Linked DNA regions of Cricetulus griseus. The protein of the gene in region 6 purifies or fractionates together with the protein of the main gene of each other region. This does not show direct contact. Links are inferred from orthologs where the notes say so. Each region holds a gene or a part of one and is shown on either strand. Other genes may lie near its edges. The genes, in order: protein argonaute-1, Mcmbp, Cdk4, Ikbkg, Ikbkb, Fkbp5 and Akt1.

Region 1 (4,068 bases), on a different chromosome or scaffold from region 6:
TTAAATAGGGCAACCGAGACAGGAACTGACATTTTTGGCATGAAGATACATTCCTTGAAACAGGACATGTACATATGTTTTATGGGGGAAAAGAAAGGGTCAGGTTTGGACTTAAATTTGAAGAGTTAGATCCAGCTGGAGCTGTCCAGCAGATAGTAGGAAATTTGAAGCCGCTACGTGGTTAGATAGAGATACTTGGGCTTTTGGAGTGGATGAAGCCATGAAGAGAAGGAAGAGTAGAATATAAAACTCAGGTTGGAACTACAGTGAACAAAACAACAGTTTTAAAGAAAGCTGAACAGGACAGGCATTAGGAGACTTAAGAAAATGGAAGAGGCCAAGTAAATTCTTAAAAAAAAAATGCTTAGTGTCAGATGTTGAAAAGCAATAATGGAAAATTAGCCTTTGGGTTTTGACACAAACGTCATTGAAGTGATTTGGTAAGAGCAAAATTCTGCAGATGAGAAAGTGGAGCCAGGTGCTTCCGCGTCCTGCAGATAGAGAGCTCTGTTTCTACACTTGAGTTGAAACTGTGACATCTTCCAAAGTAGGCAGGGTCTCTTAACACATCTGTGGTCTCAGCGCCCGCCCAGGCAGGCGGCCTGGAAGAGGGTGGCGTCAGTGAGATCAGCGACTAGGGACGCAGAAAAACTGACTTCGCAGAGGCAGCCAAGACTTAAAGGATGAGGGTGATTGGGAGAGGTGGGAGGCTGGGTCCCGGGGTGAAGGGATGTTGGAGGGGAAGAGGGCCGGGAAATGAGCTGGGAACCAGGCTCTGTGCCGAGGGCAGGGACTGCGGGCAGGTTCCCAGCGACCTGAGTAGGGAAAAGACAGGGCCCCAGGCTGCAGCCGGGGAAGGGGTGTCGCCCAGCCCCGCCCCACTTACGCCACTGCGCGGTTCCGCCACCGGAGCCCTCCCGTCAGGCTGCACGGCCACGGGTGGCCGCCAGGGGCCGCTGCCTGGGCCTCTCGCCCCCGCCCCTCTCCATTGGCCTTTGTTGCCGTCGAGCGCCCCGCTTGACTCGTTCCCGTCCGCCCCCTGGGCCCATCGGTCGCGCCTGCGCACTGGCAGTGCTCGCAGGGGGAGCTGCTGCAGGCTCCGCGGCGGCGGCAACGGAGGCTGCGGGGGCGACGGTGCGAGCGGCCGGGCTTCGGGGGGGAGCCGAGCCCGGCCCGGGAGCCCGAGCAGTGCAAGTGCGAGGCGCCTAGGCCCCTCACGCTGGACTCCTCAGTCTCCCGGCCGCCTGTTCACCGCACGGGTATATGGGATGGAAGCGGGACCCTCGGGAGCAGGTAAGGGCCCTCGGGAGCCGGGAGCGGTGTGTGTTCCAGAGCCCGGAGGGCTCCCGCGGGAAGAGCATGGCTCCAGAGGGCGGGGAGGGGCTCTCAGGAGATGGGGGGCCCGTTTTGAAGGGGCTGTGTGCAGTTCCGGCGGAGAGCCATGTGAAGATCTGAGACCCAGGCTGTTTGTCCTGGGAAGCAGTATGCAGTCCTGTGGGTGGGAAGCAATCTAAGAGAAGGGCCTGAATGCACCGGAGTCCTTCCGTGAGGTTATTAGGGAGGCCTGTGGGGAGGCCCGGCAGGTGGCAGGGGGGCGGGCTCCAGGTGTCCAGGAGAGGAGGGGGGCGACACAGATGGGCCTGTAACTACCGCCTGCCAGGGGCGGGGGCTCGGCCCTGCTGGGCTGGGCTAAGCTAATGTCTCCAGGGAGAAGGCGCCGGAGCTGGGCTCTGTGCTCCGCCCTAACTGGGCCTGAAGCGGGGGTGAGGGTCAGGGGGCGGTGGGTGGGGATCCAGTCCTGGGATTTCCCCCTTAGGCTGGGGACTTGAGTGGTGGCCCGCGAGCATGCGCGGAGGTACCAGCCTAAAGGGCTGCCCTATGTGGTGGGGGCGTGGCTGTTTGAATACCCCTACCCCTCCTCTGCCCTGTTTGGCTTGGGAAAAGGAGCGCACTGATGTGTGCATTCTCTCTTAGATTGTGTTGGCAGAATACAAATGGAAATTGCTTCATCTCTGTCTTGGGGTCTCTGACACTTGGTCCTTAAGCCCCGCAGTTAGCAGTTTGCCAAAGAATGGGTTGAGGTAAACTGCCAGAGTGCCTTTTTCTGCCACATGAGGAAAGACTGGGACCGAAGCCATGCTCTGGGAGCTGGTTCTCTCTGAAGACAGGCCTTAGAAAAGTGTTGGTCATTGAGAGACCAGGCCCATATGCTTTGCAGGTTTCTAGACCGCTACTGAGGAGAGATGGGAGCTTTTAATCCAAGGATAACGTCCTTTTCCTTGAACTGGCTATTTATGTTACAGTGTAATCTCTATATATTTGTGAGTCCTGTTTCCCAGTGGATCTTTTCCCATGTCAGGGGCATGTCGTTAGACTCAAGGTTGCCAAGCTAGTCTGTCTGACAGAAACAAGTTGTTGGAGGTGTGGACGTGATTATTGATCGCGATTGTAGCTCTAACTTATGTTTTCTTGTTTATAAGCAGGAGAAAAGTAGATAAGAGGTGAAACTGAGGCAGGGCTGCCCAGAAAAGACTGGAGGCTATAGACTTAGGATACTTTTTGTGTTCTAGGTCTCTTACCCTCTAGTAGAAAGTACGGTCTGGACCCAGAATCCTTTGGGTTAGCTCTCACCACCTCCTTCCATTTGGTGTAGGGATGGCAACACGATATCTGTTTAGATTACTTTTAAAGATTTTGGGAAACATCTGTTTTTCAGGCCAATAATAGTATCGATCTTAAAACTCTCCCCCAAGTCTGATTCAATGATCTGTGATGTGTTCCTCCAAACACAAATAGCCTTGTAAGGTAGAGTGTAAATTCTAGTTTTCTAGGTTGGGGACTGCTAACAACAACCTGTGGACTAGAGAGTAGGGTGGTGAGGTCACCCACATCTAGACATACTGAAGGCTTGTTTTCCTAGATTACTAATGATTTTATCTTGATGGATTCGTAGTGGGTTCTGGAGTGATGAAGACATGGATTTGTTTGTTACAAGAAAGAAGCTTCTAGGTGAAGGTCTGGAGCATGGGAGTCAGCTGTGTCACTGGAAAAATGTTAGTGGCATGGGGTTTGCCTAATCAAAAGATGTAATCCAAATTCAGGCTGAGAACTCTGATGGAGACCCCATAATTACTTCCTTCTGGGACTGGGCAGTAATACTATTTATTCTTGTAAGATGTTGAAGAATTTTTTCTGAGAAGGCTCATGTGCAGATGTGCCTTCAGTGTGTAGGTGTGTTGGGGCATGTGGACTGGCCTGGAAGCAAGCGCATTGAGGGTGGAGGTACTTCCCGACTTATCTGTGGCAGCGGCACATGGAGGCCCTGACACAGAGTGCATGTTTATTAATTGGCTCAGATCACATTCAAGTGTGAACATATGGTTAAACTCATGTGCATATTCTGTAATTGTGTCTATGTGTGTGGGTGTTTAATGTTTGTGAACAAATATTTCTGGAGAGATTGGTCTCTTAGTCTTTTCTGACTCACCATCTAACTTACCAAGGGTACTTGCCCTTCAAGTAGGCAGTCAGGTTCTTTAGGGAGATGTGTGAGCCTTGGAGTTGTTGGAGAGGAATCCTGACGGTGGACCTTGAGCTCTGTTACTTTTCCTTCTCAGTGCTGGTAGGGGATGGGGGAGGGGGAGTGTCATTTTCAGGGCCCCTCCCTTCTTGCTTTTGTCTGCAGGGAAGGGCCCCGCCCCTTTCCCCCTAGGCTGGAGCTTTGTCCTCTGTGCTGGGGCCCTCATCTGCATCACAAAGTGGCCGTCTGTCCCTGTCTGGGTCTGAGGGGAAGTGTCTTCCTTTCTCAGACTAAAAGCTGGGGGCAGGGCGAGGTTGGGGAGTGGAGACTGTACAGCTGTGGACAGAGCTTTCCAGGGGCTAGAATGGCAGAGAGGTAGTTCTTCCCTCCTGCCTGCTTCCCTAGTTTGGGGATGGCATGGAGATATGTCCCCCATTTTCTTTGACTCCTGGGGAGGAGAGTGTCCTAAGTTCCATTTCTGGGGAAAAGAAAGCTCTGAGGGGAGTGTATGTCCTACCTCTATCATTTTTGCTCAGCCCCTAGTTCTA
Region 2 (3,500 bases), on a different chromosome or scaffold from region 6:
GTATAAATGATCCCCAATTTACTGGGAGTTTCCAGGGTTTTGACACAGCCATTGTTTTCTGCTGTATTGGACCCAGGCAGGCCTGTAATTTGTGATCCTTCTCTCTCAGCTTTCAGGTGTGCACAATAGCACGGCATCACACTGTGGAAGATGCTGGCTTCTGTGCTTGCTTGGCATTCTCAAGGGGGACACAGCTGCATGTAGAATGTTTTCCATGTTGCATTTTGTAATGGAGATTAAATATTTGGTTCTTTCTCTTTTTACCCTCCTTGGCTTATTTGTCCGTCTATTTTTATTTCAGTCAAGGACCATGTTTCTTTTTCTTTACAACAATAAAGAAATAGTTTGAAATGCACTTAAAGAGGTTTGAAGCAATACTTTTACAAATATATTACTCTTTTGATAAAGGCGGTTGAAGATGATTTTGTGGAAATGCGTAAAAATGATCCTCAGAGTATCACAGCTGATGACCTCCACCAGTTGCTTGTGGTGGCTCGGTAAGTGTGCTCATCTGTATTCCCCTTTTTTGTTGGCCGTATGCAATTCTGATTTATTCAACAGTTAACCGAGGCAGACTTTTTTGTTTGTTTTATATTTCGAGACAGGATTTCTCTGTAGCTTTGGAGCCTATCCTGGAACTCTGTAGACCAGGCTGACTTCAAACTCAGATCCTCCTGCCTCTGCTTCTGCTTCTGCCTCCCGAGTGCAGGGATTAAAGTTGTGTGCTACTACTGAGGCTAAGGCAGACTTCTAAAAACAAAGGAACTTTTCCTTCAAAGACACCTTCTAGAGTTGAGCAGATGGGTAAAGCTTTTGCCTAAGGACTGAAGTTCAGATACACCTGAAATCTGGGTGTACATGGCCACAAGGAGTCTCAGAGCAAATTGACTAGCTTAGTAATACTAGCCAGCCTTTGGGTTCAATTGAGATACCCTGCCTCAACAACTAAGGCAGGGAGTGATTGAGGAAGATCCTTGATGTCAGACCTGGGCTTCCCACAAACACGGACAGACATGGAAAAAGTTAAATAAAAAGAAAACTCATTAGGTGGAGCTTGGAGAATCCTGTGGAAGAGGGGGAAGGATTGTAGGAGCCAGAGGGCTGGCTCAAGGACATCACCAGACAACCCACAGAACCAGCTAGCCTGGGTTCATAGGAGTTCACAGAGACTGAACTGATAACAAGGGAGCCTGCATGAGATTGACCTAGGCCTTCTGCTCATATGTTACAGTTGTGTAGCTTGGTCTTCTTGTGGGACCCCTAATAGTGGGAGCAGGGGCTGTCTGATTGATTCTTTTGCCAGCTTCCGGGACCCTTTTCCTCATACTGGGTCGCCTTGCCCAGCCTTAACACGAAGGGAGGTGCTTAGTCTTATGTAACTTGATATGCCATGTTGGGTTGATATCATGGGAGGCCTATTCTTTTCTGAATAGAAACCGAGGAGGAGTGGGGGGTTGGATTGGTGCAGAGGGCCAGGTGGTGGTGGAGAGGAAGGGGAGAAAATTGTGGTCGGGATGCTAAAAAAGTATGATATTAAAAATCACTAAAAAAAAGAATGCCTACCTAATGAAAGTGCTTATTGAGGGTTCATATTTGCCAGTGATCTCAGCAGGAGAACAGTCTTGTTCTCTAAGCTTTTAAGAGTTGAGCACCCTCTAATTCTGGCTCTCCAGGGATTCCTTTGCTCATGTGTAGCTTCTGATGGGCTTTCAAAGATTTCCTAGTTGTTAAAACTTTAAGGTAATCTTCCTAACTCTAGGTAATTTTTAAATTTCAAACCAGGTTTCTGTCCCTGAGTGCTGGTCAGACAACACTATCAAGAGAACGATGGCTAAGAGCAAAGCAGCTGGAGTCTTCCAGAAAAAACAGGCTTCAGCAGCACAAATGTGTGAATGGGAATGAACTTTAGAGTTCTGAACTTAAGAAGAGAATGGGCAAGCTATAGCCTCCATGCTGTACAATTCAGATTCGTTTATAACATATTGTTTTATAGATAATTTGTATCTAAAAACAATGACTTTTCCTGAAATCAAGCCTGGTGACACCTAAAGTTTATATGATTCTCTGTAAGGGCTTTTACCTTACTGGTTTTATGGAGTTTTGGAGTTTGTTTTATAATTAGTTATGATGTACAAAAATGTCTTTGATATTAAAGGTTTAATTATGATAATGTTGCTGATCATACCATCTCCTTAGCTATAGCTCCATCTTAGGCCAGACTCTTGAAGTACCAGCTTCGCCTGAAGACAGTTACTGGAAGAACTGTGCCCTCACATTTCTCTCTCTGTGTTAATGCAGAATGGCTCTGGTCTAAGTGTATCTAGTCGGAATGTACTTGCCATTGATTCTTGTGAACTCTTGTAGTGTCATTTCTACATACCTGGCCATAGAAACCTTTTCCCACTTACAGTTGTTAAATACCCTGCAGAACTAGGCTTTCCCATGGCAGGGGTTCCCAGCTTTTAATTTAATGGACTAGTAATACTTCCAGAGATCTCTGGGGTAGAGTGGCCAGTTAATTTGCCAAGTCATTTGGGGAAAAAAAAAAAATCACTGTGATCACCATTTTGTTTTCATAAAAGGACACTCAGATAAGAGACTTCTTTCCTTGGAATAAATGCAGCTTTGTGAAGGTCACCACATTGTCCTTAGCTTTTCTCATACCCTGCATTTGGGAACTGTCATTTTAAGGGACTCTGAAGGGAATGCTACCCCATGGAACCTTACCCAAACATGGAAAATGAAAATACAAAAAAACCTATTTAAATTGTAAACTTTGATTGGGGGGGGGGTTAGAATCCTTCCTTCCTTCTGCTATGTATTGAACTCTGGCCCCTCACACATGCTGGAGAAGTGCTCTACAACTAAGCTACATTCTTAGCCTGTGGGGGTGGGTACTTTTAATAATTTTTCTCATTATTTAGCCAATTTGATGACTGTACTGGATTTTGAGCTTTTAATGTAAGTTTGTCAGATGGTTTCCACGTGTGTTAGATGAGTAACGTCATTTGCTAGTATAGTAAAGGCCATATAGTCACAGGTAGGTTTTCCTCAGACCTATTCATTTTGATATGCATATCTTCCTTCCTTCCTTTTTTCTTTCTTTTTTTCCCGAGACAGGGTTTCTCTGTGTAGCTTTGGAGCCTATCCTGGCACTCACCCTGGAGACCAGACTGGCCTCGAACTCACAGAGATCCATCTGCCTTTGCCTACAGAGTGCTGGGATTAAAGGCGTGCGCCACCAACACCCACCCAGCTTGATATGCATGTTTTCAAATAAACAAATGTTACTACTTGTCATTTGCAAATTAATATAGCATAACCTTCAGAAAGGTTAGAACATTGCTTTTAAGCTATGATGTACATGAAGATGAATTAATTTGGATACAAATGAATTAAATGGTCCCTTAATTTTCTCCTACTAAAGAGGCTTATGTTGACATTGTTAACCAAGGAAACAGGGTCAGCCCAATGAAAGGAACTACAAACTACCATTTCAG
Region 3 (4,056 bases), about 100 Mb from region 6:
CACAACGAATGCCAAATCTACCTGTCTACCTAGATTTCTGTGGGCACAGACCACTTGGGAAATGCCCATAAGGGCAAGAGTAGCTCTAAGAAAGCTGCATTAGAAATAAAAAGGAATGTGACACCAATGATGAGTTGCATGTTTGCAGAGGGACACAAGACGTTCTCGGGCAACATGGTGGTCTGAAGTGGTGTTGGTGACCGCCCTTGTACACGCTCACCGTTTTGTCTGTTCATATGCACAATTACATACATATGTAACACAATACAGAATCTTAGTGTTAAGAGCCTTTTAAGATCAGGCACCCTGTTGGGCCGTAGTGGTGCACGCCTTTAATCTCAGAATCCCAGCACTTGGGAGACAGAGGCAGGCAGATCTGTGTAAGTTCGAGGTCAGCCTGGTCTACAGAGAGAAACCCTGTCTCGAAAAAAAACAAAACAACAGAGTTTCCAATAACTCCTTGCTGCTTTTAATATTCCCAGGGAGGTTTGCAAGTTGGAAGAGGGGAGGGCATTACGTTGCCACTCTTCCCATACAGTGACTGAGTATATTAATCCTGCTGTCCATCTTTTAGCCCTAGTTTCCTTCTTGGATAGGAATCGTACTCCCTGTTTCATAAGGGGCCACACTTGCCTACATTAGATACCCTCATCATTACTTCAGAGGGCGAATGGCTGAGACACCAAAACAAAAACATCACATACCAACTGGAAAGGAGCCCTTAGTAAAATTTTTGTTGAATGAATGAGTAAAACGAAGGCACAGTATACGAATGCTCCTTCCCCATGGCGCTGGAGTGAAAAATGTGACAGTCCCATCTCTGGTACCAGGATCTCCCACTAGCACCCGGACCTCCCCGCCCACGTCCAGACAAGGAGTGAGACGGAGAGATGCGCACAGGCTCGGCCTTGAGCCCAGAGTTGAGAGCCGGCTGGCCCGGTTGCCATGGCACCGCCTGGTGCTCCACCCTCCCTCGCCCCCACACACCCCCTCGGCAGTCAGGGACTGGCGGCGGGTCACGTGGTAGGCGGCGTAGCCACGCCTCTGCTTCCCAGCGCAGAGCTGAGGGGTCACGTGGGATAGCAACAGGTCACGTGCCCGAGCGAGTTTCGCCCCCCCCATCCCAGGTCATCCACTGCGCATGCATGGATGGATGGATGGATGGATGGAGACCACGTGTCCGCCGCGAACGTCCGGCGTTCGCCCCCCCCCCCCGGTTTCCGCGCGCCTCCCTGGCTGCTGGTCACATGGGGAGGGTGGGGGTGAGGGGGGCCTCTCTAGCTCGCGGCCCGTGTCTATGGTCTGGCCCGTAGCGTCCAGCTGCCCGGGACCGATCCCCGGTGTATGGCGCCGCAGGAACCGGCTCCCGGGCCCAGATAAAGGGCCACCTCCGCAGCTCTTGGCCGGGCGAGAGGTGAGTGCAGCCGCTTGCAGGGATGGGGCCCGGCGCCCCGCCACCACCCTATGGATCCCCTCGTTGTGGAAGGATGGCCCAAGGGCGGGAAGCGGGGCCTTTGTGGTCGCGGCCAGCGTGTGATTTTAGGGAATAAAGTGTGCAACCTTCGATGCCAACGCCGTGCATTGTGATGGTCTTCTTTGTGCCCGGTGCGATGTCCCGTTCTCCCCCCTCCTCCTCCCCGGGAGGAATGCATTCTTTTTCGCCCCTCCGGGACATCACGTGGCTGGAGGGCTCGGTGGGAGAGTCTTTTGTGTTACCTGAGGCGCGGCACTCTGGCAGCGTGGAGGGAGGGGATGGGCGGCTGTGTCGGTGCGGTCGTGGGCAGGAATTCCTTTGTTACTGCTGGGTCATCCCCCCTCCTAGCTGTGAAGGAAAGGAGGGCTTGGTTTTAGAAGCCTCTGTGATTGTAGGAGATCTCCCTGCTCCGAGAATGGCTACCTCCCGCTATGAACCGGTGGCTGAAATCGGTGTTGGTGCCTATGGGACGGTATACAAGGCCCGAGATCCCCACAGTGGCCACTTTGTGGCCCTCAAGAGTGTGCGAGTTCCCAACGGAGGGGGAGCTGGAGGGGGCCTTCCCATCAGCACTGTACGCGAGGTGGCCTTACTGAGGCGGTTGGAGGCCTTCGAGCACCCCAATGTTGTACGGTGAGGAGGTTGGATTGGGAGTGGGGAGGAAAGAATGGGATCTGTAAGCCAGGGGTGTGGTCGTCGGGAGTGGGACCCTAGGACTCCAGAGGCCACGTTGGAACAAAGGACATTGACCGGCTGGCGACTGTTTATTTTTGTCAGGCTAATGGATGTCTGTGCTACCTCCCGAACTGATCGAGACATCAAGGTCACTCTCGTGTTTGAGCATATAGATCAGGATCTGAGGACATACCTGGATAAAGCACCCCCACCAGGCTTGCCAGTTGAGACCATCAAGGTGAGCGGGCTGCTCGGTGAGAGGTGGATCCGGGTCTTTGTAGTAGGGACTCTTGGGGTTTTTGAGCGTGTTACATGGTGTCCGGGGCTTTCTCCTTCAAAACCAGGACCTGATGCGACAGTTTCTAAGCGGCCTGGATTTTCTTCATGCAAATTGCATTGTTCACCGAGACCTGAAACCGGAGAACATTCTGGTGACTAGTAATGGGACAGTCAAGCTGGCTGACTTTGGCCTGGCCAGAATCTACAGCTACCAGATGGCCCTCACACCTGTGGTGAGTGGAAAGATGGCAGCCCCAATGGGATTCGGCTTTAGGTAGTACTTGATTTCCCGTAGCAGCTGAGGTGTGTTGTGCTTGACGTTCTCAAAGCCCAGCAGCTATGAGCCATGAAAAGGACTCTCACTCGTTTCTCCTCTTCTGTTTAGGTTGTTACACTCTGGTACCGTGCTCCTGAAGTTCTTCTGCAGTCTACATACGCAACACCCGTGGACATGTGGAGCGTTGGCTGTATCTTTGCAGAGATGTTTCGTCGAAAGTACGGGGCTTGAAACTTTTGTTTTTTAAGACAGGGTAGCCCTGGCTGTCCTGTGACTCCCTCGGAGATCCGCCTGCCGCCACCACCTGGCTCAGGGTGTGGAACTCTTAGGTCCCTTCAGTTACACAAATCTTTTGATGTTACTTATGGTGTTAGAGGTTGAAATCAGAACTGCACATACACTGGGCAAATGCTCTATACCACTAAACTACACTCCCCGCCCCTGGGTCTTTTTACAAGACATACCCGTTCTTGACCATTTTTGTGCATATGGCACTGGACGCCCCAACCTAGGCTCTTGTATTTATCAGGCGCGTGCCCTGCCACCCAGCTATAGTCCCAACCTATCCTGTTTATGTTCACCAACTTGCCTAAAACCAGAAACGATGCAGGCAAATTTCCTGAAATGTCTAGGAATTAGGAACTTTGTGTTCCCTTATTCTCCGTCCTCTCTAATCTCAGCCACTTTGATTATCATTCCCTTATTTCTGAAATAATATATACTTGGAATATTTTTCTACCTTAGGCCTCTCTTCTGTGGAAACTCTGAAGCTGACCAGTTGGGCAAAATCTTTGAGTAAGTGTCCAATAAAGGGGAAAGAAATCCCCCCCCCCCTTTTTGTTTGTTTTTTTCGAGGCAGGGTTTCTCTGTGGCTTTGGAGGCTGTCCTGGAACTAGCTCTTGTAGACCAGGCTGGTCTACAAGATCTCAAACTCACAGAGATCCGCCTGCCTCTGCCTCCCAAGTGCTGGGATTAAAGGCATGAGTCACCACCGCCCGGCTAAAATTCCCCATTCTTAATTCAGTTTCTGCTCAATTCCAAATGGCAGTTGGCCCTGGAGATGGAAACTGGAAAAAGCCCCCCTGACCAGATTTGTGTTATCCCTACAGTCTCATTGGATTGCCCCCAGAAGATGACTGGCCTCGAGAGGTATCTCTTCCCCGAGGAGCCTTTTCCCCCAGAGGGCCGCGGCCTGTGCAGTCGGTGGTACCGGAGATGGAGGAATCTGGAGCACAGCTGCTGCTGGTAGTGGGCATGGGCCAGGGAGGTGGCTCTGTGATAAAGCTTTTAGGGCATAAGTGTAAGGACCTGAGTTTGAATCCCCAGAACTCGAGTAAAAGCTATGTGTCAG
Region 4 (4,030 bases), on a different chromosome or scaffold from region 6:
TGGTTGCACCTCAGTTTTTTTTTTTCCATCCAGGAGGAAGAAGTTCAAGTAGATGGTGCTTTAGAACTTGCATGCTCCAAGTCTGGCCCACATTTAATGGCTGAACATAGATTTCTGAAAAGCCTTGCAAATGAGAAATTTGACAGAAGTACATGATGTACAGCAGGTACTGACTGCTGTGATGATCAGGACACACAGGTGGGAACATATGCCGTGAGTTCAAATTAGAACCTGTGTGGCCCCTTAGCAGTCAGTTGGGAAAGTTCAGGTAAAGAGAGAGAAGTGCCTTGCAAAATGCTACATTTGATTTTTTTACACTCAGGGCCTGAGGGGAGACTCACCGATGCACCCATGATGATAAATATATGTGTATCAGCTTGGTGGAAGGCATCACCCTGGTACAACTCTTCCCTCAGGATGCCACACACCTGGGTCCGGCTCAGGGCCACCTGCTCTGCCATGGTGTTTTCTGGTGGAAGAAAGACTCATTGATAAGGCAGGAGAACAGAAGAGCATTGACAACTTAACCTTATCAGAATCAGAAACTGCTGCTTCTGGGCTCCAGCCATATCCTATGTTGTCTTCTCTGGGGGCTGTACATTACGAAATCTCTATAAGCATTAATGGAATTCAGCTAGGGAATCCACTCTGGGAAAGCGACGCGGTCAGAGCATCGCACTGTGTCTGGGGCCATCGCACTCCAGTCTCTGCCAGAAACGCCACAATGAACTGAGCATCTTTTCATTGTGCAGATGATGGAGTTCAGCCCCAGCTCTCTGCTGGCCAAGCTAAATGATCCCAGAAAGACCCTTCTCTTCTAAAAGTCTAGTCCTCATGGGCCTAATGCGGGGAAGTGCGGGGTACAATGGGATGGGTTAAGACCTCGTAGATCTTTTTCCATATCCAAGCATAACAAATAGCGCTCATCAAAGGGACACGCGGCTCATAAGCGGGAAGCACATCCCTCCACCGGTGTGCTATCAGACCACCCCCTTTACCTGTGTTTAGTTGCTGCTGCCAAACAGGTTTACAGTTCTGGAGTGCACAGCTCGTTTCCGGGGGCTGCGCTTAGCTGGCTCGTTTAACGCAGGAGGGCGGGTGCTTTGACTGAGCTGACCCGCCTCAGGAGAGGCAGGAGAGGAGGAGCTTCGGACTACTCCATCGGTGAGGGAGGGGAGAGTAGCAGAAGTAGGTGCGCACGCATCCCTTGTCAGCCCCACCCTGTTGGCCGTCCCTGCTTTCCTGCTCCGCGATCGTGATGCTTTGCTGGCACAGATACAGCTCCGCACAGTTCTCCTGCGTCCCCATCGCTACCCCAGCCATACTTTATGGTCTGTTTTCCGATGGACCCTCGAGTCCCTGCGCACTCCTGGATGACCCCACTTCCGTTAGCAGCATAGCCACGCCTCCCCTTGCAATCGGTTTGGCGTCCTTTAGCAGCTTCTTCTAGGCTTTTTCCATGGTAGGGACCTGGTGGCAGAGAGCCCAGTGACAGAACCAGACTAAAACTGGGGTGTTTCATTGCGAATGCGACGCCTTGAAAATGGGGTGGGGACAACTGTGGGCGAGGTGACACACGCCTTTAATTCCAAGCACCCGGGAAGCAGAGGCAGGTAGATCTGGATAGCTAGGAGAGAGACCCTGTATCAAAAAAAAAAAAGTGTGTAAGTGTGTGTGTGTGTGAGTGTGTGTGTGATCTTTATCAGTGAAGAGCGTTGCGCTCTTCGGTTAGCCAATGCAGGCTGGCGGTCTGAGGCTTCTCTTCAGAGTGGGATGCAGCACTATTGTGGCTTCGCAGCTCCAGTTAATCTCCTCGACTTCGAGTCTGTGTTTTACTTCCGGATCCCACACTTACGACACCGGAAGCCGGAAGCAGGGGTTTCCACAGCCGAGAAGGGAAGGGTGACCGCCCAACCAGGACTTTCTGAGAGCTCCGATTCAATCTGAGAGGTCGGGTTCCGCTGCTCAGGCCCTCTTCACTTCTGGCCGACTCTGCTGACAGGTGTAGTCCTCTTCTCCAAAGATAGGGCTCCATCGGTGGCCATTATGCAGCTTCCGAGGCTCCTGAGCCCCCTTCCCCCCACCTTGGGCCCAGTTTGTTCTGTTGCATGCTTTCGAATGCTTTTTAGAGCATTTATTCAAGAAGTGCAGATTCGCGACCCAGCTTACTTGGACTGATTTCTGTCCTTCCCTCTGCTTATCTGTCGCCTAAGGGCTTGGCCCCAAGTGCTAGAACTCTTAGTTCACAGACATTTTTCTGTTGATGAAACTTTGTTTTCTGAAACAGCATCTCGAAATGTAGGCCAGGCAGACCACGAGCACAAGATTCTCCTGCCTCAGCTTTTTCAAGTGTACCGACTTTGCCTTTGTTTTTGAAGGGTTCACGATAAAAGGGAGAAACAGTCAAAGTTATCTTTGATGTAACTGGTCCCAGTGGGGTCAATTGATTGTAAAAGGCAAGGGAAGAAAGCATGGTGATCTGTAAAGAGATTATTGCAGTAATCCATGTGAAGGATGATAGTGCTGTCAGCCTTTTATTACTGAAAACTTTAAAAATGTACAAAAGTAGAAATATTAACATAGTAAGTTCCATGTACACATTTCTTAGTTGTCTCTATCAACTCATAGCTAACTTTAATTCACAGCCCTTACAGTACTCTACCATGATTTTTTTTCCTCTTTAGAAAAGATGTTATTTTATGTGTGTGGGTGTTTTGGCTGTGAGTATGTATGTGTACTACATGCTTGCCTGTTGCTAAAGGAATTCAGGAGAAGGTGTGAGGTCCCCTTGGATTGGAGTTGCAGATGTTTGTGAGCCACCATGTGGGTGCTGGGAACTGTCTCTGCAACAACAGCAAGTGCTCTTAACCACTGAGTAATCATCTTTTTTGCTCCACCCATTATAATTTTCAAAAACAGCTTTCTTGAGACATAATTTGCATGCTGCACCATTCACATTTAAAAACTAAAAATATTTACTATTTGTGTGTGTGTATGCATGATGTGTGTGGAGTGTCATGGCCAGAATGTGTTCTCAGGTTTCCAGGCTTGCATACCAATAGTTATCCACTGAGATGTGTCACTTGCCCATAATTCAAAATTTTTGGAGAGAGTCTCATGAAGATCCCTTCTTTTTGAGTTTCTCATCCTCCTGCTTTTACTTCCTAAGTACTAGGATTTACAGAAGTACACCACCACATCTGGCTACAATTCACGTATTTAAGGTGTATAATTCAGTGGTTTTTAGTGGGTTCATAGGAGTGTGAAAACATCACTAATTGCGGAACATTGTCATCATCCCTAAAAGAAATCCTAAATAAGAAACTCCAATCCACCTCATTTCTCTAAGTAACCACTAAACTACTTTCTGTCAGGATTTACATGTTTTGGATATTTCTTATGCTTGTAAGTATATACAGTATATAGCTTTTAGTGACATTTCTTTCTCTTAGCAATTATTTGGAGCATGTGTTCTTGTTTTTGTAACAGATTTTGCTTATTCATCAGTTGGTGGACATTTGGATTGTTTCCACTCTGGCTGCTTTGAATAATGCTGCTGTGATCATTTATATATGGACATGTGTTTTCATTTCTATTGGGTTTATCCATAGGTATCTCTTTTGTTATGCAGTGAATTTCAGACATGTGAGTGTTTCATTATGTATCTCTTTCAGAAAGTACTCTCAATAAACATAACTACAACACCATGATCACACTTAAAATACCTAATGTTATAGTGTGTCTTCATGAATTAAAAAGATGGGCAGGGGGGAAGATAAAGGAACAGAAAAACTAATCGAACAAGCAAGCAAAAACTCAGAAATGCTCAAATTTTTTGTCCTGATAGTTGGGGGATGGATTTGTTTTCAACTGATAGTAAGGGAAGTTGTGGATAGAAGTGGATTTGGGAGACTCACTTTTTTGGGTACTGCTGGGGATCCAGAGTCTGGTGAATGTTTGGCAAGTACTCCATTGCTGAGATATACTTCTAGTTCTGGGAAATTAATTTTGACAAGACCTCTTTTTATTT
Region 5 (4,276 bases), on a different chromosome or scaffold from region 6:
TTTGTTTTTTTTTCTTTTTTTATAATTTTTTTTAAGTTCCATTTTATGTTTCCACCTCAGTTCTCCCTCCTACTCTCCCTCACCTCCCCTCTAGTCCCCCCCCACACTCCTCCTCCCTAGTAAGGGCTCTCATAAGGAGTCAACAAAGTCTGGCACATTAAGTTGGGGCAAGACTAAGCATTAAAGCTGAGCATGGCATCCCACCATAGGGAATGGACTCCAACAAGCCAGTTCATATACCAGGTTTGTATTGTGGTCCTACTGCCAGGGACCTCCCAGCTAGTCCAAGCTTCACAATTGTCTCCCACAAACAGGGGGCCTAGTTTGGATCCATGGAGTCTCCACAGCTCTCTGCCTAGAGCTCATTAGTTTCCACAAACTTGGTTCAGCTGTCTCTAGATTTCTCCGTCATGATCTTGACCTCCCTTGCTCATGCATTCCCTTCTCCCTGTCTTTGGATTTGGAAGCTCAGCCTTGTGCTTGATTGTGGATCTCTCTGCCCTTGTATTTGCCTGAGCTCACTGTTTTGCTTGCTTTAATAATAAAGGAGTGAGAAGTTCTTTATTTGCACTACTCTTGAGTTCAAATGCTTAGAGTCCCCTGGATATCCAACGAAGACCTTTGGCATATCCATCAATCCACTGAGAGTTAATCTTGCTGGTGGCTGCCCATGCTGGTATAAAGGGCCAGTAAGTCAAAAGCCTCATGCCAGACATAAGAGAAGCTTGTCTCGGCAAAAACTTTTCAAGCAGTTCTGACAAATGTAACCATACAGGAGAGATTGAAGTCTAGACAATGATGGTGGACCAGAACACACCTTGAGCAGGGCTGCTTAGTTATGTATGCCTCTAGCCTTCCATTTAAACCCAAACCTTATGTTAGGACCCCAGTATTGGACCTGGGTTCGCAGAGGCATGGGTGGGAGTGATTGGGCCTCTTTCTGTCTTTTCTCTCTCTTTTTCGGCTTTTCAGTGTTAGTTGTGTCGTGAATTAGGCCATGGAGGGTGAGTGGCTGAATGTGACCTGTTGGGGGTAGGGGAGAGGCAGGTAGGAGAGAGTGTCCTGGTTCTTGACCTAATACTGCAACTCCAGCTTAGGTAGACACAGTTTTTTGTTTTTGTTTTGCTTTGTTTTTGTACTCTTCCTCCTCTTTTGGGGGGGTGGGGTGGGGGATGGGAGTGTGTTACTTTCTGAGGAGTGTCAGTGTCTGTTTTTCATTCTTAGCACTGAACCAGGAGCATTCAGATTCGATGAATGGCAGTGGGAGCACAGGAAGGCAATTCGTATTACAGTCCTAGTAGCCACTTAGCAGATTCTCCCGACCCTCGTTAACTGCCTAGCTTGTTCGATGAAACTCAACTCGAAAAGCCTAGGGTAAAGCAGTCTCTACGCCGCCAAGTCCAGAACCCGCCTGCGGGCTGTGGCTGCATCTCAGCGAGCGGCTCGCACGTCTCCTTTAAGAGCCGCCAAATTCCCGTGACGTCAGGGCAGGAAGTGTTTGAGGAAGTGGCTCTGGGCTGGCTGCGTGGGGACCCTAAGTTTTCATGCCCTCTGTGGGTATCGCTGGCGGCCCCGCGGCCCCTGGGGCAGGTGAGTCCCACGCGAGGGCCGTTCGCTGCGCGTGGAAGGCCCGCGTGGACGCGTGCCCCGCCTCTTCCCGGGGTCTGCGGTGGTGGCTGCTAGCAGTGAGGACCAGGACCGCCAACGGGCCGGGCCGCGGCAACTTTTATTTATTAACTAAACCCTCTGAGTCTGCTCCCCTTCCTTACCTTGAAGGGCAGCAGTCGCTACTGCCTCCCCCTGCTTCTCGAGCTCCATTGTTTCGTTACTCTGAACTTGTCTTCTCTTCCTCTTGCTTCCAGAGTTAGCCGGGCATCGATATGAGCTGGTCACCGTCCCTCCCAACCCAGACATGTGGGGTTTGGGAAATGAAAGAACGACTTGGGACTGGGGGATTTGGAAACGTCATCCGATGGCACAATCAGGTAGGGCTCTGGCCCCGGGGAGAGCAGGTGGACTTTCTTGGTGCTGCTAATGCCAAGGCCGGTGCAAATCGGTGAACTCCCGCCTAGTCTTAGCATGATCTAAAAGGAGAGTAAGAAAGGGGGACTGCAAGGGAGGGGGGTGTGAGAGCTGCTAAACTGACTCTTAAAAACCTTGTTAACCCTGCCACTTAAATAAGGTGGAAAAAAAGCTGTCATTCTAAGTGTTAGACTAATATTAAACTAGCATGTAATGCATTGCATACCGGTGAATGTCACAGAATACAGACCGTGTTAAAAAGATGAGAGCAATAAAGATATTTTAAATAACTTTTAAATTTTAAAATATTTTTAAATAGTTGATAAACCCGGAGTCTTTTGTAATACCGAACTGCACAAAAGACAAGGAGTTAAGGATAATGGGTGAAAAAGTGCAGAGGGTAGGATGGTGAGTGGCTTGATTTCTCTTTTGAGCTGATCATATTCTCATTATTTTGGTCTTTATGTGTCTGAGTCGAGTTTCTTGTGTTACAAGTTTTTGTTCTTCCAGAGGTTTTGGTTTGGGCTGGTGGTTTAAGAACACTGAATTCTTTGAGGGACTCCCTTTAAGTCACCCGTTTACTGTGTGAGAGTTATTTTATGCAATTTGGATAATGAGTTTATGGTAATGCCTAAAAAGTTCGTGGCACCTGTAATATTCCTGTAGCTCCATCCATCCTTCTGCTGTAGATCACTTTCCTCAGGGTTGCTGAGTACCAGATACGATGTGCAACTAACTGACTAACTTGGGGGTCACAGCCTGTGCCCTAAGCCAGGTACTGCTACCCATCCTCAATAAGCCCATTAAGAGTTAATGTAATATCGGAGAGCAGAAGATTGGGTCAGTGTAGTCACATTGAGAGGAGGAACAGAGACCCAGCAAACCTCCCAAGTCCATCTTCAGGATCCTAAATGAGATTAAGGTTTAAATAGAAGGCCATGGATATGTGCATCACAGCAGTCCAGTGGTCCAGCTTACCACTGACCCGTTTTTTTGTCACCCTGTAAGATTTTCTGAGAATTTGTCAACAAATCTTTCTTCAGAAGACAAATTCCCCTTCTGGATGGTGGTTTCTCCTTTCCCAACATGAAATTCCTGGGGAATCCCCATCTTTGGGGTGCAACATTTGAAATTGTCTCTTTCATTTGTATCTTCATTTCTACCTGGCCAGTTACAGGACCTTCTGATAGACCTGGGAGGTGCTTTTATTTTATTTTATTTTATTTTATTTTATTTTGGATTCTAGTATTGGGCATCACTTGAGAAACAACCAAAATTAGAAACTACCCTTCTAGGGAATCAGTCCTTCCTAAATAGCTGTAATTAAAGTCTTGAGTAGTCTAGGTGAGAGACTAGCCTGACTGATGGTGGCGATAGGAAGAAGTGGGCAGATTTAAGAGCTGTTTAGGGGTAAAATGAGCAGGACTTGGATAGGATAGGAGGGTATTGGGGTCAGAGTTGGGATGGAGTTCGATTGAAGTGGTGCTGACTGAAGAACCCGTTTGCTTAGTCTGAATTCCTCCACCATCTTCATGGGCTAATCCTCCGGGAAAGCCAGGGGGCTGCTTTGGATGTGCAGAAACAATCTTTAATCCATATCTGAGATCAAAAGGTACAGTGTGCTTTCTAGTGGATGTACCTCTGTCCCAAGCCTCTTGAAAAATGCAGCTAGATGTGGTAGTATGCTTGGCTTCACATGTTCTTGCTATTTCCTGTGCTTTCTCCTGTCTATAAGCAAGAGAATGGATGTAGCTATCACAGGAGAAGTGCTGCCTAAGAACCAGGGTCATTGCTGTAAGCCTGTTGCATGCCAGCATCAGGCTAGGTGTCTCCTGTGCAGCTTTTGTTTGGCATTGCCCTGAGCTGTGAACCACCCTTATCTTACATAATTCACTTCTGGGGTCGACAACTCTAATTTCCATTTTGTAGCCCAAGAAACAGAAGCACTGGGGAGTTAGTTAATGTTCAGAAAGAGGATATACTGTCAACATGTACATCTATTTGGATCCAGATGATATATGCCACGGTGGCTTCTCCAGGTTGGAACTAGAGTTTAGGACATGCCTAACACATTCCCAGTTATTTTGGAGGTCCTGTTTGTTTCTTTATAGTCTACCCAAGCCATTTTGAGGCACTAAGGAGAAATGAAGGGATACCTAAATCTGTATTCCTCAGTGAAAAAGAGCAGTGTAGCAGTGACCCTGCTCCAGTTCTCTTGGCTCTTGATTCCCCCACACAGTGTGGGCTTGCCAGT
Region 6 (3,500 bases):
TGCCTTTGATACAGTTTGACTTTCTGGTTTTTTTGCTTGTTTCCTGCACACTTAAAGAGAATTTCTGAAACTGTGTAGTCATTTCAAACACATTACATGATTGCGAATCAGTCTAGGGAACCGATAGTAAGTGGGGACCCTTTGCAGAAGTCTCTGGACTTCCTGTTTTGAAAACACATTCAGACTTGATCGACCAAAAGCCACAACAAATGTACTGATAGCTTCCTCCGAGCTAAAGACACCGCACTTGAGGAGGAAGGTGATCACCTAACAATAAACTTCAGAATTCCCTCCCCCGCCAAATCTGTCAGTCTAAAGATGTGCTTACCTTGTGCATGGGCAAGAACTCCTGTGCTCAGCAGATCTCTAGTGAGAAGTTGGTCTAAATTCTGTTTATTTTTGGAGGTTCTGGGGCTTGAACCTCAGGCTTTGTACCTACTGGGCAAGTACTCTGCCACTGTGAGCTACCCCTATCCCTCTCTTCACTGTTTCTTGTGAGATAGGCCACAGTGTATGCTTCTCCGGCCTCAGCCTTTTGAGTAGCTAGGCTTAGAATAGATACCCAACTTCCTAAAAACCCAGTTCCTTTAGAAACATCACCTTTACTCTAGAAAAACAAACAAAACAAAAAAAAAACAAAACCATGGGCCTCAGTTGTGCTCCCAAACCTCTGGTGTACATGTATTTTAAATTTTTAAAATAAAGTTAAGTCTTTTTTTAAAAAAATGGAAGCGGCTGCTGGCAGTGCTCACAGCTGTCCAGCTGGATGCCTCTCACACTACACTCAACCTGGTTTTTTCACGCTACCTGTGCACTGGGGGTGGGGTGGGGGAGGTATCTGCAAGTTAGCTATTATTTTATTTAGAACATTCCAGAAGTGGTCATCATAGATATTAACAAGTGTGGGAAATAAAACAAGAGGCTCTATGCACACCCTGAGATCCAGGCTGCAGCCCTTGCTTTGAAGGAACTGACTCAGGATTTGGGTTGACAGCCGAGGGAGCAACCAGCGTGGTGTTCGTCCTGGAGGTTGTCCTGACTCTGCTGACTGAGGCCCTGCTGTTGATAGTCAGAGTCCCTCTGACTTATCAGGCCTAGGCTAAAGGTGCTGGATCAAATGGTTAACCACAGGAATTAGCATTAAAGGTGGCTTCTAGCTGAAACAGAATCATAGACCTTCAGGCCTTTTAGGAGACTGCTGAGATCAGATAAGGGTGGTGGAGGGAGTTGGAATTGGGTCTGTGTTTGGAATTTGACAGCTGTCATAGGACACATAGTTAATGTGTAAGAGAGGGTGGATTCTCAAGACTCTGTAAAGCAAGTTACGTAGTTACTTACCCCACATCAGTTAAGCAGCCTAAGAACTTTCCAGATTATCAAAGAGGAATCGTGGTGACTGTTGCACTGGCTCACAAGCCATTTTTCTTAGTGAGTAAAAGACCTTCGAGAAAGGCATATGGAACATGGGCATTAAAGGTAGTTGGGCTGGGGTGTAGCTCTGTGGTTGGTTGTTGCACAAGTCCCTGGGGTCAGTCCTCACCGCCATACAAAGTAATTGGAACAAGATGTGGTGCCGGCCTGTAATAATATAATAAGAAAGCACTTGGAATGCAGAGGCAGGAAAATAAGAGTTCCAGGCCAGCCTGAGATATATAAAAAGACTGCCTCAAAAAAAAAAAAAAAAAGAAAGAAAGAAAGAAAGAAAGAAAAGAAAATCTAACATGAATGTATCATTGGAGAAATGACATTCCAGGCTTGGCATTATTATTGGTTTATTTATTTCACCCAAGCATCTGAACCCAAGATACTGTTACAAATGGTTAAGCCATCGTTGTATATTGTCAGGACTAGATGCGTGGCATTCTCCTTATTGTGTGTTTAAATAAGCCAGTATATCCTGACCTTGTGTCACAGGTAAGAAAACTAGTATTCATTTAACCTAAAACAGAAAAATATTCTTGTTCTTAAACTTTCACACTGGGTGGGCAAAGCTTCTAGAAGACACTGTGTGTGTCTTGTGGACAGAGCTGCACTGTTGGCCGCTCACTTGACAGGCAGTGCTGAGGGGTGGCTTGTGACTGTTCTGTCTCCTCACCCTCAGTCCACCTGGAAGGCTGCTGTGGTGGAAGGATGTTTGATTGCAGAGATGTGGTGTTCATTGTTGGTGAAGGAGAAGACCACGACATTCCCATTGGAATTGACAAAGCCCTGGAGAAAATGCAGAGGGAAGAGCAGTGTGTTTTATATCTTGGACCACGGTAAGAAGCGCCCGTTTCCGTATGCAGTGTAGCTGTCTGAAGACCTACTCTCTCACTCGGTGCTTTTGCTATCACAGTGAGGTCATTGCATTGAGTCAGGTGGTAGTCGGGAAGTTTGTGAGCGGTTGGCTCAGCTCAAGTATGTTTAAGAATAGGGCAAATAAGCCTTGTTTTTGATTTGTTCCTATGCCATGGTGCCACATCAGCAAAGATTGGCTGGTCCTCTTTTCTGTCCTCTGAGTTCAGCAGGAGAGTGCTGAGAGCTGAAGTAGGGCATGATTTACTACCCCTTGAATGCATGCCACATTCTTATATGGAGTCCCCGAAGGAAGAAAAAACCAGCTTGTTCTTCCTGGATCTAAAGACAGCGGAGATGACTCATTTTTGCCTAAATCTTTCCCGTCATAAGGATAGCCATTAGCACTTCCAAGCTTAGAACTATCCGGCACTGACAGTCTCTTGTGAAAACATGTTTTGTATTATTTTTGGTCTAAAATTGTACCATAAATTCAACTCTTCTATCTTGAGAAATGGGCCCTGAGAGAATCCAGGGATGCCTGCATGCAAGAGCATCTCCTTGGCCAGAGTGGCCTCACGGGCTCACAGATTGCAACTGGCAGATCTGAGTTCTGAGACTCTTCGGCCTGCCCTCACCCCTCAGGGGTCCCTGACAAAACGCCAGTGCTTGTCTATAATCCTGTTCCTCAGTAGTTTTAGCCATGCCCACACTTCCTTGAAAGTTCTTCTAGAATGCTCTGTCCTGATCCTAAAGCCATTACGAGGCCCCTTTGTCTGCTGCCTTTCTCTCAACCCTGTTCAGTGCTGCAGTCCTGCTTCAGGGTTTCAGTTTGCAATGGGCTGTAGTTCACTCTACCCTACTTTTTGACTGAAAACTTTTTTTCTCTTTGCAGACTTGCAGAGCAGGTACTTCATAGCCTACAGTCTCCAATCTTTTTTTTTTTTTTTTTTTTTGAGATATCTTCTCACTTTGTAGCTCTGGTTGCCCCAAAACTCAACTGTGTAGACCAGGCTGACCTCAAACTCTGCCTGCCTCTGGCTCCCATGTGCTGGGATTAAAGTTTACTAATCACTTCTAATCTAACATTCCAAAATTACAGGAGCTCCACACTCAGGTGGCGGCTGTCTCAGATATGCTTTCACAGTTGAGCCCTTAAGGATAAGTTCTGTAAAGTGTAACCATTCAGGGACACATGACCCAGATCTGTAAGTCTTAACCCAGCT
Region 7 (3,500 bases), on a different chromosome or scaffold from region 6:
TGTTGGCTGGTTTTGTTGTTCAACGAGAAGCTGTTGTCAGGCATCTGGCCTCAAGAACCATGGGGACCACACTGTGGAGGTGGCACCTGGTTATTTGTCATCTGTTCATGTCTGTGTGAACACGGGCCTGGTGAGGAAACTCCAGGTGGAGCACAGCACCTCTAGTGGGCCGTGAGTACTTGTGTTCCCAGAGGCTGTGTGGACAGGTGGAAGGCCCCAGCTGCTGCTGCGCTTCACCAGCTGGACTCCGCCTTACCTGTTTTCAGGGTACCAGGCATCCAGATGGGGTGAGGGAGTAGAGAAGAGCCTGGATGGGCCAGAGCCTAGCACTTCTGCAGGGGCTCAGTATCAGTCCCTCCTTGTTGGAGTGTGAAAAGCTGGAGGGAGGCCCCAGAAGGGGGCAGGGGTATTCCTAGATACCACGTGGCCATGAAGGACCAGTGTAGCCACCTCTTGTATTTGTCTGTCATGTGTTGGCACAGTTCTTTTGGAGGGGTGGGGCTTGGGGTCTGTCTGGACTGAACTCATTAACATGCAGGCCACATCCTAGGCTGCAGCTGGCTTAGCTGGTACCCCCAGTGACCATTTGGCTAGACCTTGAGGCCGGAGATGAAGAAAGAGATCTGTGTGTCAGAACTGTGGCTCCCTTTCCTCTGGAAGAGGCCGCCACCGGGAAAGACCTGATGAGGTCACTTCACTTTACATTTCTCCTTGGCCAGGAGGCCTCTGTGAGGCCAGGGAGGGGAAGGGCACCTAGGCCCTTCTGGGTACTTGGCTTTCTCTGCCTGGTGAGTGTCCCTGCCTGTACCTCCAGGTCCACATTCTGGAATCTGCCTGGCCTAGGGGCTGGTCATGCAGGCTAAGAGCCAGTTGTAGATAGGGTGGTGGTCTTGTCTGGGGGCCTGCACTGGGCACAGTGGGGTGGGCAGCAGTTGGTAAATCAAGATGGATTTCTGGGGTGCGAGTGTGTTGCTCATCAGCCTCCGTACTCAGTTAGTGTCCCGGGGAGCAGCAGCTGGTGAGATGGAGGCACTCCATCAGGGGCCGACAGCTCCAGACTGGTGCTGGCGGGTGGGCGTGCACAGCGGGGGCCTAGGGAGGAACGGGGTGGGGGGGCTGCTCACCCCCCATTGGCTCTGCTATATTACCCAGGGCCCCTGCCTGCCCACTGAGCCTTCGAGGCCCTATGCCAGGGGAGGGGCTGTCATGGGGCCACTGGCCATGTGAATACTGCAGGTGTGTGCCACCTGGTCAGAAGCCAGGCTGGTGCCTGCAGGGGTTCAGGGGTCTTCGAAAACCTGGATGGGAACCCTGTTCTGTGTTTTTGTTGTGTAGGCAGGTTGCTGAGCCTTAGGCCCTCCTGAGTGAGGGAGGGTTGGCATTGGTCATTGCTTTGAAGCCCCCAGTGGCTGTGGGAAGTGGCCGGCTGGGGAGCTGAGCTTCTGGGAACTAAAGATGGGAGGCAGGAATGGGTTTCCAGGTGTCCTAGTTCCAGCTACTTACGGACTGTAGGCCTTTGGAGAGAAGCAGAATAATCTAGCCTAGGCCCTGGAGGACCACCAGGCACATTTGGGCACATGCAATGGAGTCGGGAGGAGCTCGAGCTTGCTCTCTTTGCTGCCCCTCTCCATTGTGAGGCTGGGGTCTTTGTCAGTGCTGATGGCAGGCTTAGGAGATCTGCAGTGACGAGGGGACAGGATCCCTAGCTCTAATAGCTACCAGCTCCCTGGAGTGTGTGTGGGGTGTTGGCCTGGTAGTGGCTCTATCACTTCTTCTCTCACCAAGAGCCTTTGTCCGTCACTTAGGCTTTCTCTTATCCTGATTCATGCAGGGCTGTGTAGGGTCATGCAGAGCAAGGCTGGTGTCGGAAATGCCTCCAGGGTGTCAATTGAAAGGGACTAGACGGTGGAGTCGGGGGAGGTAGGTCATGTGAGGAGTCTGGCAATATACTGCCCAGAGCCCCTACTTCGTGTACCCTGGAAGGCCCTGAGAGTCTGAGCTGGTGAACTATACTGGGTAGACTGTATCTCACCTGCACGTGTTCTCAGAGAACACCTGGATTTAGTACATACCATGAGAGGGTAGAGAAGGAAAGCTAGCTAGCCTCCCTGGGGCTGTGGAAAATGCGTTAGGTGCACTGCCTGGTGCCTGAGACCAGGGTGTTTGTCCTTGTGACTTGGTCTGCATCCTGGAGCACCTGGTGGCAGGTGGCCTGGTCCAAACAGTTGCTCCCTGCATACCCCTCTAGGTGCTCTTGCTCAGGACTCAGTGGGACAAGCAAAGTTCATCTCAGATAGAGCTCAGGGACCCCAGCCCTGTGGGCTGCCCCTCCTGTCCTCAGTCTAGTGTCCCCTCAGATGAAGAAGTTGCCTAATTAGTTAGCTCCCTGTTGTTCAGACTCCTTGCTCGGCAAAATGTAAATGAAACATTTTTTCCGGGTGTCAGTATGAAAAATGACAGTCGCTGGGAGATCACAGAGGACATCTGCTCTGATGTCTGAGTGTGGTGCCTGCTTCTGGCTGATGCTGCAAAACTGGAGGAGGGAACAATGTTCCTGTGTACCTGGGTGACCAGGGCAGGACTCAGCTGGACACAGCACAGGTCTCAGCTAGGACACACACGTGCGCACGCGCGCACACACACACACGCGCACACTCGTTCCAGCCATGGCACCTCTTGACTCTGCTGCACAGGCAGAGCCCTGGAAGATGCTCCCAGCAACATGCACTGGAGCTCTGCCCCAGTGCCAGTGCCTTCTGGGAAGGAAGTGGCCCAGATCCCTTCCCTACCTCTATGTGCCTAGGTCCTCTCAGGTGTCAGGGCCACTGCAGTGTTGTTCACATGCAGCTCCTTATGCCCCCCCCCCCCCGCAGGGGAATACATTAAAACCTGGCGGCCACGCTACTTCCTCCTCAAGAATGACGGCACCTTTATTGGCTACAAGGAACGGCCTCAGGACGTGGAGCATCGAGAGTCCCCCCTCAACAACTTCTCAGTGGCACGTAAGTGTCTCGGCCATTTGGGTTGAGTGAGATGGCTAGGCAGGCCAGCAGGTTTTGTCCTGGGGTGCTGGGCAGTGCTAGCTTTGAGTCACCTCCTCTAGAGCTGGCCAGTGGCCAGCTCTGGCTGGGCCAGGGAGCCCTTGCTGTAAGGCTGAAGGTTCCAGCATGTGGTGACTGGACCTGGTTTAGAGGGTGGGTTGACCAGGGTCCCTTTAATGGGGACTAAACAGGCACTCAAGGACATTCACTGGGAACTCTTGGGTAGACTGAGAAGAAGGTTCCCAGTTCTAGGAGCCTAAGACATCCTGGGAACCATTTCTGTATTGTTTCCTGGGAAGACCATTGGTAGTCCTTTGCCCTGGGTCTTGTGATCGCCTTAGCTGGAGTGCCAGGATTGGTGAGGGTTATAAAGTTGAGGATATTGTGAAACTATCTTTGAGAGCGTGGAGCTTGAGAATCTATGTCCTTGTTCTCTGTGTCACATTGTGACAGCCCAGT

The links.
Region 1: the proteins of Fkbp5 (region 6) and protein argonaute-1 purify together in Homo sapiens (affinity purification with mass spectrometry; 6 studies listed by BioGRID and IntAct, with this or other methods). This does not show direct contact. The link is inferred for Cricetulus griseus from reciprocal best matches to the Homo sapiens genes FKBP5 and AGO1.
Region 2: the proteins of Fkbp5 (region 6) and Mcmbp purify together in Homo sapiens (affinity purification with mass spectrometry; 3 studies listed by BioGRID and IntAct, with this or other methods). This does not show direct contact. The link is inferred for Cricetulus griseus from reciprocal best matches to the Homo sapiens genes FKBP5 and MCMBP.
Region 3: the proteins of Fkbp5 (region 6) and Cdk4 purify together in Homo sapiens (affinity purification with mass spectrometry; 3 studies listed by BioGRID and IntAct, counting the BioPlex papers as one, with this or other methods). This does not show direct contact. The link is inferred for Cricetulus griseus from reciprocal best matches to the Homo sapiens genes FKBP5 and CDK4.
Region 4: the proteins of Fkbp5 (region 6) and Ikbkg purify together in Homo sapiens (affinity purification with mass spectrometry; 3 studies listed by BioGRID and IntAct, with this or other methods). This does not show direct contact. The link is inferred for Cricetulus griseus from reciprocal best matches to the Homo sapiens genes FKBP5 and IKBKG.
Region 5: the proteins of Fkbp5 (region 6) and Ikbkb purify together in Homo sapiens (affinity purification with mass spectrometry; 3 studies listed by BioGRID and IntAct, with this or other methods). This does not show direct contact. The link is inferred for Cricetulus griseus from reciprocal best matches to the Homo sapiens genes FKBP5 and IKBKB.
Region 7: the proteins of Fkbp5 (region 6) and Akt1 purify together in Homo sapiens (affinity purification with western blotting; 3 studies listed by BioGRID, with this or other methods). This does not show direct contact. The link is inferred for Cricetulus griseus from reciprocal best matches to the Homo sapiens genes FKBP5 and AKT1.

Annotation. Positions count from the first base shown.
Region 1 is NC_048595.1:26,573,538-26,577,605, forward strand, and holds the start of protein argonaute-1, read left to right. Parts: upstream 1-1,268; coding exon 1,269-1,293; intron 1,294-4,068.
Region 2 is NC_048596.1:72,054,593-72,058,092, forward strand, and holds part of Mcmbp (mini-chromosome maintenance complex-binding protein), read left to right. Parts: intron 1-408; coding exon 409-497; intron 498-1,782; coding exon 1,783-1,909; 3' UTR 1,910-3,500. UniProt on the Homo sapiens protein: Associated component of the MCM complex that acts as a regulator of DNA replication.
Region 3 is NW_023276806.1:130,641,208-130,645,263, reverse strand, and holds the start of Cdk4 (cyclin-dependent kinase 4), read left to right. Parts: upstream 1-1,256; 5' UTR 1,257-1,414; intron 1,415-1,869; 5' UTR 1,870-1,889; coding exon 1,890-2,107; intron 2,108-2,251; coding exon 2,252-2,387; intron 2,388-2,493; coding exon 2,494-2,661; intron 2,662-2,813; coding exon 2,814-2,923; intron 2,924-3,449; coding exon 3,450-3,500; intron 3,501-3,814; coding exon 3,815-3,950; intron 3,951-4,056.
Region 4 is NC_048604.1:1,290,595-1,294,624, reverse strand, and holds the start of Ikbkg (NF-kappa-B essential modulator), read left to right. Parts: upstream 1-1,230; 5' UTR 1,231-1,328; coding exon 1,329-1,331; intron 1,332-1,848; exon of another isoform or gene 1,849-2,002; intron 2,003-4,030. Other genes in the region: G6pd (glucose-6-phosphate 1-dehydrogenase), read right to left, coding at 342-461. UniProt on the Homo sapiens protein: Regulatory subunit of the IKK core complex which phosphorylates inhibitors of NF-kappa-B thus leading to the dissociation of the inhibitor/NF-kappa-B complex and ultimately the degradation of the inhibitor.
Region 5 is NW_023276807.1:60,985,494-60,989,769, forward strand, and holds the start of Ikbkb (inhibitor of nuclear factor kappa-B kinase subunit beta), read left to right. Parts: upstream 1-1,476; 5' UTR 1,477-1,590; intron 1,591-1,862; 5' UTR 1,863-1,880; coding exon 1,881-1,985; intron 1,986-4,276.
Region 6 is NW_023276806.1:233,539,780-233,543,279, reverse strand, and holds part of Fkbp5 (peptidyl-prolyl cis-trans isomerase FKBP5), read left to right. Parts: intron 1-2,101; coding exon 2,102-2,258; intron 2,259-3,500. UniProt on the Homo sapiens protein: Immunophilin protein with PPIase and co-chaperone activities. Component of unligated steroid receptors heterocomplexes through interaction with heat-shock protein 90 (HSP90).
Region 7 is NC_048598.1:181,392,298-181,395,797, forward strand, and holds part of Akt1 (RAC-alpha serine/threonine-protein kinase), read left to right. Parts: intron 1-2,873; coding exon 2,874-3,002; intron 3,003-3,500. UniProt on the Homo sapiens protein: AKT1 is one of 3 closely related serine/threonine-protein kinases (AKT1, AKT2 and AKT3) called the AKT kinase, and which regulate many processes including metabolism, proliferation, cell survival, growth and angiogenesis.